3 linked regions of the Rattus norvegicus genome follow. The protein of the gene in region 2 interacts with the protein of the main gene of each other region in a pairwise test. Links are inferred from orthologs where the notes say so. Each region holds a gene or a part of one and is shown on either strand. Other genes may lie near its edges.

Region 1 (4,640 bases), on a different chromosome or scaffold from region 2:
CAGCACTCACACTGGGCAGTTCATAGCCACTTACAGCTCCAGCCCAGGACCTCTCCCAGCCTGTGTGGGCATCTACACATATGCAAGTCCTCATACACTCGTCGGATAGACATGTACACATGACTTTCTTTTTTTTTTTTCCGGAGCTGGGGACTGAACCCAGGGCTTTGCGCTTGCTAGGCAAGTGCTCTACCACTGAGCTAAATCCCCAACCCCACACATGACTTTTTTAAATTTTAAAAATAGTGGTCACATAAAGATGGCGTGATGTCCCAAGCAAGCAGCCTGTGACAACATAATAAACCACTCAATGGAAAATGAGTCCTGTGGCAGCAAGAGGCTTGTTCACAAACCTGGATGATGGTCCTGGGTGGTGGGGTTTGGGCCAGAGGCTCTGTATCACTTGATGACTTTCTGCTAGACTTTGCTGTGGCTCTCTGGCCGCCCACCAGTCTTACGCTCTACCCTGGAAGGAGAGAGGCTGTTTGGGTTTAGAGGAGGAATGTTCCAATCTGTCCCTCGTGTGCCCCCGACCCCCAGGATAGAATGAGAAAGCTCTGGCCATGATACCCTCGTCATGCTCTTGGCATCTGTCTATCCATTTGGACATGCCTGATCTGTTTTGTCCTCAGAGGTAAACCTTGGGAGTGCAATGGCTGTGCAGACGTTGACTTAGGACACAGTTTCCCCCCTCAGGCCTGCGGCAGTAGCCTGCTTACTCTGTGCTCTCCTGGTATTCCCAGAGGCCCAGCCGCACTCCCTAGGCACTACCTTCTTTTCTTTTCTTTCTTTCTTTCTTTCTTTCTTTTTTTTTTTTTAAAGATTTGTTTATTTATTCACTATAGCTGTCTTCATGCACACCAGAAGAGGGCATCAGATCCCGTTACAGATGGTTGTAAGCCACCACGTGGTTGCTGGGAATTGAACTCAGGACCTCTGGAAGGGCAGTCAGTGCTTTTAGCCGCTGAGCCATCTCTCCAGCCCACTACCTTCTTTTCTTAGCTCTTCCTGCTTGATAGACTCATACCCAGGTCTGGCACCAGCCTACCAGTCGCCCCAACCCTCTTCCCCATCCTAACCTATAGGAGAGATTTATTTCTATGCGCCCCACCCCCACCCCACCTTATGATTAAGGAAAACGAGTTCATTTAGTGGCTACTTGGAGTTTTGGGGTGGGGTCTTGCTTTGTGGTCCAGGCTAGATTAGAACTCGGGCCCCTGAGTGCTGGTATTGTGTAGTCATGGGCCCTCGCACAGGCTACAGTGAGTATTCAGTGTGCACTGTATAAACAACACAATTCTTGTGTGCTTCCGCCCCAGACTCTAGACCCTGTTCCTTACTAAGTTCAGGATCTCCTCGTGGTAACACAAGGAGATTGCCCTTCCTTCCTGTGTCCTCAGACAGTGGGTAGAGGGTCCTGTAGGGTCCCTGGAGCCAGAGCTGAGGACATAGAGCTTCCCGTGTGTTCATTCACCAGAAGCAGGGCCCACAGCTTCTGGGCAAGATTAGAAGCTTGCATCGTTAAGAACTTTGTTTCCCTTCTTTTTGACGCAGTAATGACAGGCTCAATGTAGGGCACAGCAGGAGCACACCAGACAAAGGAGGCTTGCCACTTAAGTGTCTTTGAACCAGAAACTACCAGGAATGCCCTGCGAGCCAATATTGTGGGTTCTAAAGCCTGCCACGGGGCAAACACTAGTCGTGGAACAGTGGCCCTCCGGGAGGGGACCGAGCTCCTTTTGGCGGAAGGGTGGTGCTTGTTTGATTGCTTCTGGCATAGACTGCACCTGCTTTGTCAGTGGTCACGTGAGACTGAGGAAGGGTCTTTATTCATGCGGCCAGGGTGCCTGCCTTGCCTGGTGTTGACCCAAGAGATTATGTTCAGCCAGTGCCAGGACTCTGATGAATGCCAGTCCAGCCTGGACGCTTCTAATTATACACGTGTGTTTTTATAGAGCAAGCCATGTCACATGCTGTGACTATTGTGGGAATGGCTGAGTCCAGGGACCAATCGCATCCATTCCAAGTTTCTGCCCTTTGGCTGCGGCATTCTAGGTCTGGAGATAAATCTGGAGCTTCCACCTCACCTCCGTTGAAAGACTAAAACTGGGAGGGACCGTGGAAGAAGAGAAAGGTTAGAACGTTAAGGTGTAGGGCAGAGATATGTTCAAGAAAAGGTCCAAGAACCAGGCAGGCAGGAGATTGCTTTGCAACCCAGGCCAGCCTGGGTTGCACAGCAGTAACCAATCAAAAGTGAGAGACAGAAGGGATGGGGAGACAGTTCTGTCAGTGAGGGAGGCCCTGGCTCTGCAGGCATGAGTGCCTGAGTTTGGGTCCCTAGCACCCGTGTACAACACTGGGTATAGCCACATGTCCATAATCCCAGTGTGAGGAAGGCAGAGACAGGCAGGCCCCTGGAGCTCCCTGACTAGGCAGCCCAGCCCAGTAGCTGTGCTCCAGATTCAGGAAGAGACCCAGCTCAAACGAAATGGAAGCGCCAGGCTCATAGCATAGGCCTTTAATCTTAGAACTTCAGGGGCAGAGGCAAGTAGATCTCCTGAGTTCAAGGCTAACCTGGTCTACACCCGTGCTGTGAAGGGGGAGGCTGGCCTGAGAGACAGTGGAAGGCGGAGGGCAGCTATCCCTGCCAACCTACTTACGTACGCCTTGTACATCTCATTACCAAGAGTCCCCCTCCTCCTTCCCTCCCTTCCTCCCTCCAGCTGTCCATGGGGGCTAAAAGTGCATGTGTGCATGTGAGGGTGGGTGCCTGCAGATGCCAAAAGAGGACATTAGCTGTCCTTGCATCTGGAGTTACAGATGGTTTGTAAGCTATCTGTTGTGGGTGCTGGGAATTGAATTCTAGTTATCTATAAGAACAAGCCATGCTTGTAACCCCTGAACCATCTCTCCAGCCCTGGTTTATTTTAACTTCCTAATCCTTCTACCTTTAAAGTAGTGGTATTGTGTTGGACACCTTGTCTGGCTCATTTGATGTGGGGGTAGGGGATGGGGGTGGAGCCAAGGGCTTCATGCACACTGTTTAAGCTGTTCAACCCCAGGGGGGTCTCGACCCACTAGTTGAGAACTGCTGTTCCAGCCTCTCTGGTATGTAGAGGCCTCTGTGGGCCAGCCCTGGGTAGCAGTGGGCATGCAGGTGGGATGTTTCACAGGAGTGGCAGTGCGGTCTGATCTCCGGCTCTGGGCTTACCTGTGTGCTCGGATCCCTCACCGTCTTCATGAGGCCCTTGCTCAGGACGGCTCACTTCATCCTCTCTGAACTTTCCTAGTTCCCTGACATTGTGGATTTCTGTGAAACGATGGCCAATACAGGCAAGACAGTGATTGTGGCGGCGCTGGACGGAACCTTCCAGAGGAAGGTAAAGATGTCTGACCCATGGCAGCGGTCTTGAGAGGGGAGACAGCATGCAAGGTCTCCCCATGCAGCTCTCTAGTGAAGCAGGACCAGTAAAGTATGATGTTGCTGAATCATGGGGTTTAAAAGAGAAGCGTTGGGCTGGGGGCAGCCCAGGCTGTAACACACTTGCCTTGCACACAGGCTTGCGTCAGTTCCGCAGAACTCCCTCCACACGCATACACGTGAACACAGGCAGGGAGGGAAGTGCCTGGCTAACACTTTTGCTGTCCTGTGTAGGCTTTCGGCAGCATCTTGAACCTGGTGCCCTTGGCCGAGAGTGTGGTGAAGCTCACCGCTGTGTGCATGGAGTGCTTTCGAGAAGCTTCCTACACCAAGAGGCTGGGCCTGGAGAAAGAGGTATCTCCTTGTGCTTCTGCCCACGGAGTGGGGTGGGCTTAGGCTTCTGAGTCCTCCCTCATACGCCTCTCCTACCAGGTGGAGGTGATTGGCGGAGCGGACAAGTACCACTCTGTTTGCCGCCTGTGCTACTTTAAGAAGTCTTCAGCCCAGACTGCAGACAACAAAGAGAACTACTCAGTGCTGGGGCAGCCTATAGAGATCCCGGCTGTCAGGAAGCTCTTTGCCCCTCAGCAAATCCTACAGTGTAACTCTGCCAACTGAGGGGACCCGGGGCCTGCCAGCTCCTTCCCCAGGTTGGACTCCCAGAGAGCAGGGAAAGGGGCGGGGCCTGCCATTCCTACTGGACATTGCACCTTGGCTTATCTGCTTGTTGAAACCTTTCTTAGTTCCCTTCTTATAATGGTTGTGAGCCCCCAACCCAACGCTTCTCTCTTAAACCCCGTGATTCAGGCAACATCATACTTTACTGGTCTTGCTTCACTAGAGAGCTGCATGGGGAGACCTTGCTGGAAATTGAACTTGGGACCTCTGGAAGAGTGGTCAGTCCTCTTAACCCCTGAGCTATCATTCCAGCACCTTTAGCTCCCTTCTTGGTTGCCAAGACACCTCAGCACAGACTGGAGCCCAGACCCTGCCTGGTGGCTCGGGTCTCACATTCAGCCAAAGGTGAGAACAGAGCCACCCAGCATTGTGACATTGGTGGTGCTAGCTTCTTCCTTGTTGGTGGCTTTCACTGCTGGGTTTCCGTTTCAGCCCCACACTTTACCAAGGCTCTAGCCTTCTCACAGCTCTCCCATATATGTATCCCTTGACCCCTACTGCCATTATAGCTCCAATCCTTCTCTGCTCAGCTCTCAGTAAG
Region 2 (4,373 bases):
GAAGCCTTCTTTGTTGGCTACAGCATCCACGGCATGCTTACTGTTTAAAGTCATTTAAGGCAAATTTTCCCTGTAAAGCACTGATGCTTTCTATGTACTTAGCTAAAAACTGGCCATCCTCCTACTTCTGTCTACTGACTACTTCTGTCCTCTGACCTCCCGCCTCTCACGGCCAAGGCCTTCACCCTCCTGTAGCTTCACGGTGCTCATTCCTTCCACAGCTGCTGCTCTTTTTGCCCTAAATGCCTCGATGGCATTTAATGACTATTTAATGCTTCAGATGACCTTCTGGGCATTGAATCTCAAGACATCCACCTTCTGGGTATTTGAGTCTCAGCTGAGACACCCCCTCACGCCCCCCCTTAACCCGCCTCCAGCTCAGGGAGGTCTTTCTGATCGATTTAATTATCACCTATCAGCTCTACCTCTTGACTCAAACACCTGGCTTTCTTACAGAATTCTGTATGAAGTTCATATGGTGGCATCACCCTTGCTGTGCGTGCATGTCTGTCTGTCTGTCTGTCTGTCTGTCTGTCTGTGCCTGTCTCTCTTTCTCTCTCTCCTGGCTTTTCCAGATTGGCCTCAAACTCACAGAGATCCACCTGCCTCTGCCTCCCAAGTGCTGGGATTAAAGGTGTCACCAGCACGCCTGGCCTGGCCTTGCTTCTTTACACACTCATGTCGTTTGGCCCAGGCTGCTTTGCTCTACTTCCCATATCTGTTCTCAGGAGTCTGCTTCTTTGGGAGGAAAATGGGAAAGGCCATAACTGTCCAGCTGCCCACGAGAGTCCTGAAGGTGAAGAAGGAAGAAGATTTGGCATCAAGAACACAAGTGAGCAGGTGGACAATGAGGAGCCTCGCTCTCCCGGTCTTGAGCCGTCAGAACAGTGGGTGGAAAGGCAAAGCAGGCTACCATGTTCCTGTGTTGGGTACAGAGGGTTTGGAGGGTAAAAAGGTTCTTAGGAAAGGTCAAAGTACAAAGATGGATCAGAATAGAAGGTTTCCCTATTTATTACAAAATGCATTACACAAAAACAACTGACCAAAATGTCTAAAAACAGCCCAGACTCTTCCAACCTTCATCCACTTGTAGATAAGAGGAGCCTGGTCCTGCTCGAGGGCAGCCCTTCTCAGAAGAACTGCCTGTGCCTTGGCTGGTTCCGAGTCTTGGGTCCAGCGTAGAAAGGAGCCCAGATATGTGCTTAGCCCCATGAAGCAGCCCTTGCTTGCAGCTGCTCTGGGCAGGCAGCAGCTGCAGTTTCACGGTTCTGCTCCCACCACACAAGTCAAATCAAGGAATGCAGAGAAACAAACAACAAAAAGCAAAAAGAACAGAAAATGGAGCCTGGAGGGGTTATAGCTAGGGGGAGGACACATTAGGGAGCTTCTCAAAATTCCTTGACTTTGAAGGTCTAACAGAGTATTTTTGAAATGACTCTAAATTATACATACATGTTATGTAATTTCTTATTAATACCTTAAAAAATTTAAAAACATAAAAAAACCCCAAAATCAAAAAACAAAAACCCTCTCAAATGCTTAAGATGCTGAACCTAGAGAAGGAGCTAAGGATGCAGCCAAAAGGAAATGATTTAAGGACAGAGGGTGAATAAAGAGAGCAAAGGTGGAAGACCATGATGTTTCAGAGCTGGCAAGGTTGGCCTCAATTTCTTTTCTTCTGTCTGGATACTGGTTCTGCTTCTAGGTACCGGAGCCCAACTAGCATACCCAGGATTGAGAAACCTTAAACACAGAAAAGATTAATGGTGATAGAAACAGCACCTCACGCCCAGCGCAGCCTCTGCACCAGCCCCGCCACTGAAGGGGTCTAGGGTGGCCCAGTGCTTACTTGCTACCATCAAGGGTGCCAGCACACCAACTGTGGGAGCCGCTGTTCCAAATACAAACAACTCCGAGAGGAAGTGTCCCAGGGCAAGGAGGAATGTCCACAGTGTGATGTGATAGAGTCTGCAAGGGAACAGACAGACATGGGAACCAAAGTTACTGCACTGTTGGTGCGGAAAGTGTCAGCTGATATGACACAACTGTAGTTGAAAGGACACACGTTCCTCAGACACACCTGGCTACTTAATCACATCAAGTTCTCCTCTTCTGGGACAAAAGGTTTTGAGGCATGGGCCAAGCAGCCCGAGTGGGCTTCTAGGACTTGTTGAGAACTCCACTGTGGAGAGTCTGGATTGCAGTCTGGGACAGTGCAGCAATTCTGGACTAGGGTCACTTATGTACTCAGTGCAAAGCAACAGACTCAGCAACCTAAGGCTACCCTAGCAGGTGCCTGGCTATGTGCCAGCCCGTGCTGTATGCCGGAACCATAAATGAATATACTGAACGGGGATTGGGTAGCACGAGGCTTTTAGATGCGCTTGCAGTACACGTTGGCTACTTTATGTCTCAGCCTAAAGTTTGGTCTGAGGAGGACATGTAAGAGTCCCAGAGGAGAAGAACTTGTTCATCGCTTTTGATAACAAGGTGGTGGCTGACCATTGAAATTTTAGATGTCTGTGTTGTCTTTTTTTTTCTTTCTTTGTAAACTATGAAAAAAATTTAGTAAACACTCCAAGATAGTGAACTGTGACAAGGACTGAGCCCTTTCAGTTTTAATACTTGGACATTTTGGTTTAGATTCCTTTTTCTGGTTTTGGGGATCAAACTCAGGGCCTCATGAATGCCAGGAAAACATTCTGCCTCTGAGCTAGGCCCCCAAGATGGGATATTTTTACATTAAAGAACTAAAAATTGAAAACATTTATGCCCGTAGCCTGCCCTGACTGTCTTCTTCTCCTCCCTTTTCTTTCTAAAAGAACCAGTATCTTAAATTTGCTTTTTATAATGCTGGTGCATGTTGTTGTTGGTGTGTGTGTGTGTGTGTGTGTGTGTGTGTGTGTGTGTGTGTGTGTGAACACAAGGTGATTCTGAATTTCCGGCTAGAGAGCTGATAAGCTCAGATGCACGTCAGAGGTCTATGGATCAAAGTCCTAAACCAGAGAGGACAGAAAAGCATTTGCAGCTGCTCTGGGTCAGAAGAAGGAACAACGAATGGGGGGAAGAGGATGACTTCTCTCTGTTCACCTGGAGCACTCCACACCCCCGATACCCATCAGCAATTCTTCATGGTGGTAAAAGGTCCTCAAAATGATTAGCCGATTCTCCAGCCTTTTCATTCACTCTGAGAGGTAGAACAGCTATTATCATCCCTCAGACCGAGAACACAGTAATCAGCCTGATTACCAACAAAACGACGAGCAGGATGTGTTTTCCTTCTTGACCCCAGGCAGTTTCCACTAAACCATCCTGCTTCTAAAAATATGTGTTCGCAATCTAGGACATGTAATTCAGTTTCAAGTTAAAAAAAAATTAAAAATAAAGATGGAAAGATCAAAGGCTAATAGTCTTGCTTTAAATCCCACTTGAGTCAGTCTTCCTCTACTTAAATTAATTGGATTTTTTTTAATATTTAGACTGCAAGATCAGTAATAAGAATCACTAACCCCTTTCCCCCAAGGGGTTGCTAAGAGACTCAAAGTCATGTAGGTGAAAGTGCCTCACAAAATCAGAGAGGAGCCATAAATATTGCTTCCTCTCTTCCCCCATGCTGAAGGGAGGGACAAGATTAAAAAGATTTCAGCGTGAGGTTGGCCTTTTGACAGCTTCACCCAGTGAACTGAGCAATGACTGCTTCTACTTAGCCAGTGGTGATTACCGCAGGGAAGAAACCTTGGGCTCCCTCTAGTGGCCAGAACTGAGTATGGCATCATCACCTCACTCAAGAGGCGTGTGTTTGCCTCTTTCAGTTTCTTTATATTTATGGTTTTTACATGCAGGTTTATTGTAAGCTGCTCTAGGGCAAGTTTCCTGGCCCCAGGGACTGAGGCCAGGGGAGTTGCTACGGGAAGAAAGAGAGAGGGGAGAGGGAAGAGAAAGAGAGAGAATGTGTACAGAGAGAGGCCAGGGGAGTTGCTATGGGAAGAGAGAGAGAGGAGGGGGAAGAGAAAGAAAGAATGTACAGAGAGATTTTTTTTTTCATGGATTTATGATTAAGGAGGAAGGTGCAAAAGGTGTGTATAGGACTAGGGATGCAGCCCAGAGCTTGAGCATTTGTCAACCATGCCCAAGGTTCTTCATTTGATCCCCTAGCACTGTGAAATGATACCAAACCAAACCCTGAGGGGCTCTTTAGTAGGAGAAAGGTGTGCTCTAATGAAGGGGTCTGACACCATTTGGTATGGCCTGGTTTGGAAGGAATGGTTCAACAGGCCTCTCATTTTCTATGTGCTATGCTAATGCAGTAAACTGAATCAACAGGTACCAAGAGCATGACAGGGCACATGTCTGAATGTGCCCGAGGGGCCTGA
Region 3 (5,220 bases), on a different chromosome or scaffold from region 2:
AGTTCTTGTAGGGCAGCTGGAACCTGTGGCTGTCTGTGACTTACCCCAAGGAGGTGGCCCAGGGTAACAGAGAAACCAATGGAGAGGGCAGGGCTACCCAGGTTGTCACCGCGGCGCTCGTCGGTGGAGGCAAAGATGCACAGCACCAGCTGCATGGTCAGGAAGAGCTCTACAGTCACAGCCTGGCCAGCTGTGGCGTTGTTGTGGAGCTGGAGAGAAAGATGGAGGGATGAGTCTAGGGAGGCTGGTCACACTGCCCCCTCTTCCTGTCACCTGCTTCCGGAGCCAGAATACCATCCTCCACCTCAATTGTAACCACTGCCCCTTCTGAATCCTGGTCCCACGGTAGAGGATGGACCTGGGGCAGCCCGAGGCTGGGAGGTGGGTCTCAGAACTGACAGCCCAGGAGACTGAGGTTTGCGAGAGGAAAGAGATACTGTGTTTCAGATTTTGGGAAGAGGTTACTGTTGCAGCAGGAAGCTTTGGACCTGGTACTAGAAAGGCTAGTGTGAGCTCTAGGTCATACTGATGCAACAGGGTGTGTGTGTGTGTGTGTGTGTGTGTGTGTGTGTGTGTGTGTGTGTGAGAGAGAGAGAGAGAGAGAGAGAGAGAGAGAGAGAGAGAGAGAGTGAGAGTGTCTTTCTGTGGTCTTATGGTGGAGGAACTTATGGCCTAATTCCCCTCACCTCTCTCTGCCTCCCCTCCACCCCTTGCATTCAGGCCTTGCTTCTGTCCCCATAGCTGTTCCCTGTACATCCTGTGGAGTCTGAGGATGCTGAAGGCGGACCTTCATACCCACATAGGGTACCCACTGTCCCTGCAGCCCCTACCCCGGGAAAGAAGAGAACTTGGTGCTGAGCTCAGGGGCCATTTCATAACCTGGCCACACCCAGCGATGCATTTCAGGGTTTTGTCATCCTGCACCCCACACCCTGCCCTCTGGGGCTGAGCACTGCATGGGGTAGATTGGTGACAACTTTCAACTCCCACACTCCTTTAGGTCCTGAGCTCCTAGCCTGATGCTTCAAGATCTTTCTGGGGTCTAGCCTCAGCCTCTACTGTGCTACAGCCCCTTAGAGACAGGAACAAGGACTTGGGACTCCCACCTTGGCCTCCTCCAGCTCGACGGGAGACTATCTGAGTCTCAGTATCTCATTCTGTACAGATGTGCAGGATAAAACCAACCCTAGAAGATTGAGGGTGGCAAGGACGAACCTCTGGCCCCACTCTTGCTGGCAATGCTGTTCAGAGACTGATGGTGTAGGTTTGAGTCTGGTGTCACACAAGCCCAGGCTGTCCCTTGGATGGTACTGTTTATTGCTTCCACGATTTGGGTCACTGAATGCTGGATTTAAACCATAGGGAGGGGGAGAGCTCAGAACTGAAGTTACAGTGCTCTACCAAGGACAAGATAGTATGTGACCTGGCACAGGGATGATCGCCATCAGTGGCAGCTTCCTGGGGTCCAAGCTGACTCTTGGTGGCATCCTCAGAGAACACTGACTGCTTCAGTGGTTGCTGGTCTCTCCCTAGCCTCAGGGCAAATGGGCCCTCCGATGCCCTATCCCAGACAGACAGGGCTCCCTCTACCACCTAAGGTGGGTCAAGGCAGAGAAACAGTCTTTGGTGCTGAGGGGTGGGTAGGCTGGGATATGTGGTGGGTGGATGGGGGATAAGGGATGGCTGTTCCCCAGGGCTTTGGTGTTCCCAGGGCCTCGGTGCTAGAGAAAGCCTATGGCATGTTTTCAGGGGGTTCTTTGACTAGCTGTATGTCTCCCTGTTTTAAAACAAGCTCATTTTACTAGGTATAGACACCCTTCACACCTCAGCTTGCCCCTTGCCCCCTTGTGGCTCTAGATCCCCTGCCCCTTTTCTGTTTTTGAAGAGTGGTCCCTCATGGGGAGACTTCTGTCCCTCTCATGAGGAAAGCCATGTGCAGAGGAGTATGTGTGCAGGGCCAAGGGATTGACTCAGTAGAGAAATGAAAAGGGAGGAGCCCCGAGAGACACTTGCTTTCCTAGTTTGGGATCCTGACAGGGTCCCCACATTCCTAGGCCTGCGCAGATTGGAGAGCAGACAGACCATGGCTTCACCTTCAACTCTCAAAGTGCCCTGGGTGCTGTTTCACCATTATAGCATGAAGGCAGACTCCAAGAGTCTCTTCCTGTAGGCTTCTGCCAGGTTCTGGTACTTCTGGTATTAACAAATCTGATCTCTGGCCTCCCTTCCCAAGTCTGTTTCTTGGTTTGGAAGACAAAGCCCAGATGGCACTTTGGATAGTTGGTTGCTGGAGAGATCATGGGTTTTGGGGTTGAATCAGGGTTTGGGGGTGCTTCCTGCCTGGAGCCTGCTCCACCTTACATAGTGTCAGTGTTGCCTTGTGAGCGGCACTGCCCAGTCCTCACAAGCTCAATGCTGCTGGGATATCTTCTTCTCTAGATCCCTGTAACTGCACTCTGGAGTCCCCAAGGCCCCCAAGGCCTGTCTGTGCTAGGCTGCTGTGTCCTGCTAGGGTCTAGCCTAGTCCTCCCATGGAGTCTAATAGAAATCCAGACTTCTGTTCCTTGGTGGTGCTGGGTGGAAGGCCCTACAGGCGGCCACCAGGATTCTGCTCCCGGTGACCCTGTTGCTTTCCTTCCAGCTCTCCTTGGGTAGTTGTGTTCCTAGCCTTCCTGGCCTTCGGCTCTCCGTTCCCTCACCCAGAGCCTGTCCCACCCATCTTACCCGTCGCAAGGGTTTTCAGTGACTGCCCCTCCTGGAGGAGACAAAACTCAGGCTACTTACAGCATTGACAGCCAGGTCCCCACGGATTTCTACTGGAGTAATCTCATGGAGGATGGCAGCCCCAGCCACGGCGCCCAGCAGCTGGGCAGCCACATAGAAGGCAGCTCGAAGGAAGGAGACATGGCAACCCACCAGGCATGCCACAGTCACGGCGGGGTTGATGTGTGCCCCGCTGACATGGCCCAGAGCCTGAACCAGGGTGCCGATGCCCAGACCAAAGGCCACGGCGATCTGGAGCACAGAGGGTGGGGAGCTGGCCCACTGGAGGGCTGAGCCAAGGCCAAAGAAGACAAAAAGGAGCGTGGCCAAGAACTCAGCCAGCACTGCTCGGGAGAAGGCTATGGATCTGAGTTCCCACATGCTGCTCCGACTTCTGCGCGCTGGCCAGGGGTCTGGGCCACGGGGGTGGCTCTTCCTCCCTCCCTCTCTCTTTCTCTTCTCTCTTCCTCTGGGCCTCTGGGGAGGCTAGACCGTGGGCACTTATAGGACCTTCCTATCGTAGGCTTGGGCACGTGGTATGGAGGAGGCGTTCCTGCCCACACCATGCTCTCCCGTGGTGGCCTTGCCCCAACCCATGCTCCTGCCCACCTGAAGGCCCTATCGTCCCATCTTAGCTTCCACAGCTGACTAAATGTTCTCCTCGTTAATGAACTCCAGATAAGGATTGACGTCCTCTGTTTTCCTCATTTTTTTTCTCCTCAGTTACTCCAGGGAGCTGCCCCAGGGCTTCCCCAGCCCCCAGAGTGACCACCAGTTCCAGTTCCTGCATTGGAGACCGTGTCCAGTGACCTTCTCTTCGACTAAAAGGCTGGCCAAGGAAGGGGCACCACCTCAGCCCAAACTGTGAGAAAATGTGGGAACTACCTTTCCGCTGACTGGATGGTCGGTCTTTCTTCTGGAAGAGGATGGAAAACAACTGATTGGCCTGGGACAGATTTCCAAGGCAAAGGTCTTGTGCTTGCTTTCTTGCAGTTAATCACCCAGAAGTTATTATGTTTCACCTTCACCCAGGAACCCCAGCCAGAGAGTAACTCCCATTGCCCGGAGCCAAGGGTGGCTTCAGTGGCCCCCGGGGACCCTAGCCCTGTGTGGTAGAGTCATCCAGAGCCAACAAGAAACACAAGGGCTTCTGTTCTGCAGCACGCACTCCAGATGTGACATCCCCGCTCTGTCTCTATAGATGAGGTAATAAAACTATCTCGTAGGATAGAGATCTGCGTTACTATGTCAGTCATTGCTCAGTGCTATTTGCATTTTGAGGTAAATAGGTCCTGTCCCCCAAACTCAGAGTCTCTGAGGCTACAACAGACTCTAGGTACCATCTTTGAGCTCAGAGGAGGAAGATGTTTCTGGTGGCGGGACCACTCAGCTTGGTCAGTGTTCTACAAGGTCACCTGCCCTCACAGCTCCTGTGGCTGTGGAGCCTCAGAAGACTGACCTACCTGATGCCTCTTCCTTCTTTGGGGATCCAAAGGCAGGAGTGCTTACAGTGCATCCAGATGACAGGCTTCTAGTCCCCCTGGCCAGCCATAGCCCAAGGGACAGGAATGTGTGAGAAACCGATGAGCATGTGGTGGAGACACACTAAGGGGTGACTGAAGCTAAGGGAGGGTCCATTTCTTCCCAGGGTACCCCAGAAGATTGGTGGCTGAGCTCAGACTAGAACCCATCAAGGAGTGCTTTCCTGACACCCTGCACTGCCCAGGTCTGCTCTGAGCCCTGCTCTCCTTGCCCAGACAGGGCCAGACAGTGATGCTTCTCCCCTTAGTTTTCAGAACATAGTAAGATGCACAGTAAACACCCACGTATACAACGTGGGCACATGCACACTTGCCTCCCACACATGACTTGCAACTCCTGCTGTTAGGGGGCAAGATAAGAATGAATACATGAGGGTTGGGGATTTAGCTCAGTGGTAGAGCGCTTGCCTAGCAAGCGCAAGGCCCTGGGTTCGGTCCCCAGCTCCGGAAAAAAAAAAAAAAGAATGAATACACGACACCAACAGAGGCCCTCAGAGGAGTCTGAGGACTTGGGCTCAGGTAGTGCTCCCTGCTCAGGGTCCTCCCCTGCAATCCAGGCTCTCCAGAAAGACTCAGTGGGAAGGTGGAAGAGCCTTGTCTTGAGAAGGGTACTTGTGACTCTGTTTTCTCCTTCAATCATAGGGTACCCAGACTTGGCACACAAAAAGGGTGAAGGACCCTATCCAGGGACTGTATCATGTCTGTGCCTCCATGATACATACTATCTTGTATGTAGTGTCTACCACCTCTCCCTGTCCTCTCCCTGCCTGTCTCAGCGGTGCCTGGAAAACCCCCAGGCTGTATTGAGCTGAACTGTGACCGTGGTTCCAAAGCCACTTGACTATTGAGTTCCAGTGTGACCTCCGATGAGCCGCACACTCTTTCTGGTCTCTACACTGTGTGTGATCATGAGAAC

The links. The genes of interacting proteins can lie anywhere in the genome.
Region 1: the proteins of Erg28 (region 2) and Tk1 interact in a two-hybrid assay, tested with the Homo sapiens proteins (2 studies listed by BioGRID and IntAct). The link is inferred for Rattus norvegicus from reciprocal best matches to the Homo sapiens genes ERG28 and TK1.
Region 3: the proteins of Erg28 (region 2) and Aqp2 interact in binary tests that used the Homo sapiens proteins (3 or more experiments, as listed by UniProt). The link is inferred for Rattus norvegicus from reciprocal best matches to the Homo sapiens genes ERG28 and AQP2.

The regions. Positions count from the first base shown.
Region 1 is NC_086028.1:103,534,350-103,538,989, reverse strand, and holds part of Tk1 (thymidine kinase, cytosolic), read left to right. Parts: intron 1-3,290; coding exon 3,291-3,380; intron 3,381-3,655; coding exon 3,656-3,775; intron 3,776-3,853; coding exon 3,854-4,039; 3' UTR 4,040-4,640. UniProt on the Homo sapiens protein: Cell-cycle-regulated enzyme of importance in nucleotide metabolism. Catalyzes the first enzymatic step in the salvage pathway converting thymidine into thymidine monophosphate.
Region 2 is NC_086024.1:111,204,115-111,208,487, forward strand, and holds the end of Erg28 (ergosterol biosynthetic protein 28 homolog), read right to left. Parts: intron 1,969-4,373; coding exon 1,850-1,968; coding exon of another isoform or gene 1,761-1,849; exon of another isoform or gene 1,744-1,760; coding exon 1,664-1,743; 3' UTR 989-1,663; downstream 1-988.
Region 3 is NC_086025.1:132,588,294-132,593,513, reverse strand, and holds the start of Aqp2 (aquaporin-2), read right to left. Parts: upstream 3,229-5,220; 5' UTR 3,145-3,228; coding exon 2,785-3,144; intron 210-2,784; coding exon 45-209; intron 1-44. UniProt on the Homo sapiens protein: Forms a water-specific channel that provides the plasma membranes of renal collecting duct with high permeability to water, thereby permitting water to move in the direction of an osmotic gradient. Plays an essential role in renal water homeostasis.